Linked DNA regions of Kluyveromyces lactis. The protein of the gene in region 3 purifies or fractionates together with the protein of the main gene of each other region. This does not show direct contact. Links are inferred from orthologs where the notes say so. Each region holds a gene or a part of one and is shown on either strand. Other genes may lie near its edges. The genes, in order: GIM3, PAC10 and PFD1.

The links.
Region 1: the proteins of PFD1 (region 3) and GIM3 purify together in Saccharomyces cerevisiae (affinity purification with mass spectrometry; 3 studies listed by BioGRID). This does not show direct contact. The link is inferred for Kluyveromyces lactis from reciprocal best matches to the Saccharomyces cerevisiae genes PFD1 and GIM3.
Region 2: the proteins of PFD1 (region 3) and PAC10 purify together in Saccharomyces cerevisiae (affinity purification with mass spectrometry; 3 studies listed by BioGRID). This does not show direct contact. The link is inferred for Kluyveromyces lactis from reciprocal best matches to the Saccharomyces cerevisiae genes PFD1 and PAC10.

The regions. Positions count from the first base shown.
Region 1 is NC_006040.1:948,726-951,248, reverse strand, and holds GIM3 (tubulin-binding prefolding complex subunit GIM3), read right to left. Parts: upstream 1,060-2,523; coding exon 670-1,059; downstream 1-669. Other genes in the region: KLLA0_D11143g (uncharacterized protein), read left to right, coding at 152-197, 286-530; ARO9 (aromatic-amino-acid:2-oxoglutarate transaminase), read right to left, coding at 1,409-2,523. UniProt on the Saccharomyces cerevisiae protein: Binds specifically to cytosolic chaperonin (c-CPN) and transfers target proteins to it. Binds to nascent polypeptide chain and promotes folding in an environment in which there are many competing pathways for nonnative proteins.
Region 2 is NC_006039.1:412,120-414,686, reverse strand, and holds PAC10 (tubulin-binding prefolding complex subunit PAC10), read right to left. Parts: upstream 1,101-2,567; coding exon 507-1,100; downstream 1-506. Other genes in the region: DSC2 (Dsc2p), read left to right, coding at 1-412; KLLA0_C04477g (uncharacterized protein), read left to right, coding at 1,383-2,567. UniProt on the Saccharomyces cerevisiae protein: Binds specifically to cytosolic chaperonin (c-CPN) and transfers target proteins to it. Binds to nascent polypeptide chain and promotes folding in an environment in which there are many competing pathways for nonnative proteins.
Region 3 is NC_006037.1:573,051-575,395, reverse strand, and holds PFD1 (prefolding complex chaperone subunit), read right to left. Parts: upstream 925-2,345; coding exon 583-924; downstream 1-582. Other genes in the region: ATG27 (Atg27p), read left to right, coding at 1-376; ATP synthase complex assembly protein ATP12, read left to right, coding at 1,218-2,201; RBH1 (Rbh1p), read right to left, coding at 2,325-2,345. UniProt on the Saccharomyces cerevisiae protein: Binds specifically to cytosolic chaperonin (c-CPN) and transfers target proteins to it. Binds to nascent polypeptide chain and promotes folding in an environment in which there are many competing pathways for nonnative proteins.

The DNA.
Region 1 (2,523 bases), on a different chromosome or scaffold from region 3:
TTACCAGTTTTTCCTTCTGCCAAATACTCACTATGAGATATGATATCCATATAAAAGAATAATGAATCATGATATATGAAGGATAAGGGAGATTGTTAGCAAGAACAAAGAATAGAGTAGCAACAGTAATAACAAAGCATTAGCCGCAGATATGAGATTTGCACCTATTTTTATTGGAACGGCGTTGGCCAGTTCGTGTATGTTTAAGGACGGATTTTCTTAACCCTTTTTTTTCCCTTTAATTCTCAACTTTACTAACATCATCATCGTCATCGTCAAATACAGTATCTTCACTTATGGTTATATATCCTGACAGCTTCCAATACTACAATGATTTAGTGAATGTGGCACATGAACTTGATGGGACTATAACGCATGAATATACATTATTCAATGGGTTTAGTTTGGATTTGCCAGAAGAGTTTGTCGCTAAATTCAAGGAAATGAACCAACATTTTAATTGGGGGCTTGAAATAGAAGAAGACCAGGAGGTTCATGCGTTAGGTGGGCTGAAAGAACATGCTGTTTGATTGCATTATGGACTGAATCAACGTTGTGTCGGTCTTTACTATTATTTTCTATGTAGATTTTATACGCAAACATATATTACTCGGTTTAAGGATATTTTTTCAATTCTATCAAGCACTTCAGCAATGTATATTTATGGGCTCAACGTTCCAAATTGATGTTGTCACCGAATTTGGCATACAATATACTCTTTAGCTCTTTTATTCTTGAGTCCAATTCCGCCTCATCGCTCTCTAGCTTTTCTATATTGCTGTCGATGTTTTCAGCATCGGATTCTAACTTTTCAACTACTTCTTTCTGTTTTAGAAATACGAAGACGTCTCCGATCTTATATTGTACCTTCTCATCCTCGTCTATCAATTCAATTTCCAACGATACGTCGTCGAGGTACTCTTTCTCTGTTCTTTGTTGCGTCAAATCTTGTTCGATAGCATCTTTTCTCATGATCAACTTGGAGAACTCATTGATACGTTGTTGATCTTCGTATGCAACGGTGACCGTGTTCTTTTGACCCTCCGGTAGTAATTCCATTTCTAGTTAGTGTGTTGCGTGTAAGATGTGGTAGATGTCTCTGTGTCTACTCATGTCATGTACTGTTTTCATCTGTACTTTTAGCCATTCTTGTTATTTTTTATTCAACTTTTACATACTCTAAAGATTTATCTTGCAAATTACACTACTGACATGCAAAATTATGTCATGCAATTTTACAATTTCATGCTCAAAAGAAAGCAGTTGGGACATATTTCACGGCCCTATCAGGTTTATTGTTTCACGTTGTAATTATGCATTCATATATAAGTATCTAACTTTTGTTTTTATGGTGCAACGTGAGGTTGAAAATTAGCAATTACCAGAAAGAGCTGTAAAACAGACCCCTTCAGTTGTGATACTCTTTGAAGAATCTCTCAACACCTTTACCTAGCCTTTCAGCAGCTGTTTGTAAATGCTCTTCATCTGGAGCCATAGCAAATGTAATTCTTAAAAAGTTGGACCTGTCATATGAAAATTTCTTGTCAACTGCCATTCTGTAACCCAAGATTACAATGCAACCTTCTTCCAACAACTTGTAGTTTAAGAAATTCATGGCCTTTAATTTATCCGAGATTTCTCCGAACTTATCAAAATTGATCTTGATACTAATGAACATACCGGCAGAGGGTTCAATCAATTCAAATAATTCTTCTTTATAAGCTGGTGTAGCTTCCAATGCTTGGAAAAGCACATTTCTTCTATGTGTATACTCACCAGCAACTTTCATGACCCATGATAGCCAAGCTCTGACCTTGTCTCCATTGAAATTTTCTGCCCATTTGTCTATTATATTAATGGTCATAGCTTGGGCAAGACCACATGGCGATCTAACAGAAATGTCTGCATATTTCAATAACTTGTCTAGGATAAATTTATTGGCGACAATGAAGGAAAGACGCATCCCAGGGGCGAAGACTTTGGAGAAAGTTTCTAATCTAATGACTCTCCCTGATGTGTCTATGGTCAAATATGAGGGGGCTAATATTTCTTTACAATATTTATCGAAAGTGATAGTGCCATCGTTATATTGATTCTTTAATGGATCAGACTTGTCAAAGGGTAAAAACTTTAGGTAACCATACGGATCATCTTCCACAATTATAATGTCATGTTTTTCGCATAGATCGTATATTTTCTGTCTCTTCTCTTTGCATTGTGTCATACCGGTTGGATTTTGCCCTGTGACGATTGTGTATAACAGTCTAGGCTTAGATAAGTGAGAATATTCACCTGTTGACCAATTCTCAAGCAATTGGTCCATATACTCGACGTTAATACCCTGCTGAGAAGCATCATCCGTGATATCAACTTTCAATGGAATCGGAATCCCACCATTTGCAGTGACGTTGGAGATAGTCGGAGTGAAAGTAAATTCTTCCATTAACACGGTAACGTCTTCATCTGTTAAAGTGGTGAAAACTTTAGATAAAGAATCAGAAGATCCATTTGCTAACATAACAT
Region 2 (2,567 bases), on a different chromosome or scaffold from region 3:
TCATTTCTACAAACAGTATACACCAAGGTTATACGAATTCAATATAATAATCAACCAACCTTTTCTTCTTCATTCTAACACGATCGTTTGGAAGCTGACAGATCAATTTTTCATCCATGGCCTGTTATTCCTTGCCATGGTAAATCAAGGCGCAACAGGGTTGGTAATCGGACTAATAAGTTGGATTTGTGCTATCTTGATGGATAATGGGCTACTACCAGGTACTGACTCCTTCCAATTGGCGCCTTTCAAAGACAGCTGGAACAGAAGTTCTAGCACATTAAACAGACCAAGCGCAGTTATGACAAACGATATGACATCGGAAGATCTAAATGAGGAAGAGGCCGAAGAACCTCAAGATGAACCTCAGCGCACTTTAGGGGTCCAGTTCTTGGATACTTTTAGAAGGTGAAACACTTTTTGTAGATAATGATAATATTTAAATCTATCAATGCGTTGATTCAATTACATGGTGTATATACATAAATAGGATTTAAAGAAACAGTTCAACCAGAAGAGCCTTCCTTTTTCATCTGCTGCCTCCTTTGAACATCCCAATTGTATAATCTAGCACAATTGACCTCCATAGTCGTGATATTCTCTCTTAGGAACTCCACATCTTGCTGAGATATGTCCAGATTTTGCTTGGCATCTGCTAGCTTTTGAGCTAAAAGCTCAATTGCCTCATCTAGAGGATACTCGAGCATCACATCGGCACCTAACCATAACCCGACCTTTAATTCAGGATCCTTCGGATTGACTGACGCCTTACTAAAAAGCGTTTCATTTAGCTGATAGTTGATCAGCAAGCTGTCATCTTCCTCCTCATCGTCTTCGTCAACCTCTGTCTCTCTCTTTTGCTTCAAAAGCGCACACATATTGAGAGTATTTTCAATATCTGGAATCTTGCTTTTAAGCTGTTTTATGTTTGCTAGTTTAGACTCTTGCATGTACTTATATTTGGATAGATGTTCTTGGAACTTGCTGAAGCACATATCGAAATCCTCAGGACTCTTCACATACTGCTCCACCTTTTCCACGAATGGAGCCTCAGGAATCCCTCTAGGATTTGTCTTTGCAGAATTGAATAGCGTATCCATTATGTTACTTTGTAGTTTTGTTTTGACGTCTCCACGCGGTCCAAGCACATACCAAGCAGCTCTTTCCCCTCAATACTTCAACAATTCTTTGTTTCATTCAAAGTTTGTTTTAATTTGCAAAACTATGGAAGATTAACATTGTTTACATGCAGAAGAATGAAAAGTTAACAAGTAAAGGAAAAGTTGGCATTATCGGAAAAACGAAATCATTAGTTCGGAAACTTCATCAAGTGCTCGGACATATTAGAATTCCTGGTTCCTTAGTTAAAATCAAGTCAGTAAATGTTAGAGAATGAACTCTCGTTCGTTTCTCTCACAAGAGTTTCTTTAAACGTAATTGAGTTGAATATACATGCCAAGGATGCAACAATCGTCAATAATGTGTCGTTTTCTCTTCCAAATGGTCAGCTAATGGCAATTATTGGTGGATCAGGTTCAGGTAAGACTACCATGCTTAATGTTCTAGCAGGCAAAACAAATTCGAGTATAAACTATGATGGGGAAATCCAATACAGTCGAGATGCTGCAAAAGAGGGATCTAAAGCTGACGAGAAGGTAACCACAGCGTACTTGACACAGCATGACGCATTAGCTGCGAGGTTGACATGCAGAGAAACACTTCGTATTGCTGCTGATCTTAAATTACATCTGCCGAAACAAGAAAGATATTCATTAGTAGAAGAGTTGATTGCGGAGTTGGGGTTGAGGGATTGCTCAGAGACGTTCGTAGGTGATTCAATAAACAAAGGACTCTCAGGAGGTGAAAAGAGAAGACTAAGTATAGCAGTACAGATGATTGCAAATCCGTCTGTCTTATTCCTGGATGAACCAACAACTGGGCTTGATGCGTACTCTGCGTTTTTGTTGATAAAAACGTTAAAGAAACTTTGTGAACATGGCGGAAGAACTATTATTATGAGCATTCATCAGCCTCGGTCAGATATACTTTTCGCGTTAGATCAAGTGTGCCTATTATCAAAGGGATTCCCGATGTATTGCGGTGCGGTGGTCGGTATGGTGGAATACTTCTCATCCATGGGATACACCGTCCCTGAAAGGTGCAATCCTGCAGATTACTTGATAGATATCTGTAGCGTAGACAATAGAACTGAAAAGTCGACGCTTGATTCTGAAGGAAGGTGGAATATGTTTGCTTCGGAATGGCAAGAGAGATGTTCTACCAAATATGACACCTCAAAGGAAACAGCGGTTATAAGCGTCGATCCTTCTCCACCATCTGTGTCCATCTTACAACAAACATTCATTTTAACCAAGAGAAATTTTTTACTATCCAGTAGAGATAGGCTGACTCTCTTTGCAGTACAATTTGAGCCAGTTATTGTCGGAATTGTAGTCGGTTGGATTTTCTATAAACCAGACCAAACTTCAGAAAGTGGGCTAAGAACAATCGCCGGCGCATTATATATAGTGGGATCAATTCAAGGCTACTTACTTTTGTTACTTGAA
Region 3 (2,345 bases):
TCCATTTGGTTGTTTGAAAAAGGGAAATGACAATAAAGATGGCAACGGAGACGACGATAACAATGATAAGGATGGTGATGACTCCGATAAGAAGCCTCACGATGGTGATAAAAATGGATCCAAACCAAAGGGCGGAGCTGGTCTTGGGTCGTGGCTCGTATGGCTATTCATGTATGCAACTATCTTTGCCCTTATTTATCTCGTGGTTACTTCGTATATGAACACTAGAAACGGTTCCTTTAACGATTTCCGGGAAGAGTTCGTTGATAGATCGACTACGTTCGCTACCAATCTCCCACAATTCGCTAAAGAAGTGGCAGGGAAAATCGTAAATAGTGGTTCATCGTCTCAAAGAGGCGGATACAGTGCGGTTTGATCGAATGTACCTCCTCCTTGACGTGCGATGAATAAAGACCACATGTATTCTGAAATAGAGAATTCTTAATGTACAACTATATATAACATTACCACTGCTAAATACTTTAACTCTATTCTATGATGAATACGACTTTTAAGGGTACTATCTTCCCACATTGCTTGACCCATACAAAAACCCCTGTCGATGCCGACTCAGTAGTTGATTTAATTTCCAATGACTCTTCTCAAACTCTCTACCGTGTTATCGACTGTGGTCTGTAGGTAATGTCTCTTTTGTTCCAATGCCTTTATCTGTTCGTCCAATATTCTTTCATCATGGTTTAAATCAGCAGTGTAGGCTTGCTTCTCTTGACGGATGAACATCTTACCACAAGATCTCCACACTTGCTCATTTCCATAATTTCCCAATTCCTTTTCAGTCAACTTAGCAATCTTTTTTTGCCTCTGTAGTTGTTCCAGTTGTGCAAGCGTCATATCCAATTGTGATCTGCTGTTACGAAGAGAATTTGCCATCTCCTTTACTATATCTTGCGGTTGAGAGCTCATTTTGTCAAATTTGTGTAATTGAGTATCAAATTCTTTGCACTATGCCTCACAGATCTAGATTGACTACTGCAAAGCCAGCGTATGACTCTTACATTTCAATAGTTTCCATATCATCATGCTTAAAGCTTTAAATTTCAGATCGTGGAAACTTTATAATTTTATTTTTTGAATCATTATAGTAGTGAATAAGTACAAGATGCCCGAATAGAAATGAAAAAAAGGTTGGACCAAGTTCTCCAAAGCCCTTGGTTCAATTTACATCCAGTGATACTTAACAAGAATTGTTTGCAAATATGTTAAGATTGAGCAGGCCATTTCGTTTGGTTTCGCCAACTGTTTTATCACGAGTCAGATGTTATGCACAAGCTTCTCCATTAGGTGTGGATCACAGTATCGAGAATAATTTACAAACAGAGACTAATAGATTGTCCAAGACTTTGACTAAGTTTTGGGAACAAGTGAGTTTAGAAGAAACCCCCGAAAATGTTACCATTAAATTGGATTCTAAGCCTTTGCGTACTCCTTTGGGGAACCCTTTAACTTTACCACAATCTCGTAAGCTTTTATCGGTTATGGTTCTCAATGAATGGAGTAATCTTCCTAGTTTATCTGTCAAGCCTTATGTTTTACCTTTAACCTCTTTAGTTTCCCGTTGCATTGATTTGGAAAAGGCCAATGAGGACGGTGTAGACCCAGAACTTGTTGCGAAGATAGGTGGGAACAGAGAAAAGTTAACTGAAGGTCTTTTGAGATATTTAGATACTGATACTCTATTAGTGTTTTCTCCAGCAAATGAATACGAAGGTGCGCTAAGAAAGGCTCAAGATGAATTGTATCTACCGATAATTTCCGGTGTCGAAAAGTTCCTATCTCAAATAAATAAAGATAAGAAAGAAGTCAAATTACAAATATTGGACGCTGATTTACATGGATTGAGAGGTAACGCCCAAAGTGGAGAGACCAGAGAAGTAGCTAAACAGTATTTGGATTCTTTATCTGTTTGGGATTTAGCCATTTTCGAGAAGACTGTCCTAACAACAAAATCCTTTATTTGCGGTCTATTATTGCTATTGAATAAATCGGCAACTGTCACAAATATTCCTGAGTTACAAGTTTCCATGGAAGATATTGCAAGAGCAGCTACCCTCGAGACTATTTACCAAGTTGAAAGATGGGGTGAAGTTGAAGATACCCATGATGTCGATAAACGTGATGTAAGAAGAAACATCCATGCAGCTGCGATTGTTGCATTCGGCCCACCAACCTCGTCGAAATAGATGATAACAATCAAGAATAAATTAAAACTATACTTACTGTACATATGATTAATAAAGAAAGTTTATAACTAAGAGTTTGGGAATTCAAAGGTAATATTCAGACACATCACAAGTGTTTCGTATTTACAGAGCACCTAGCAATTT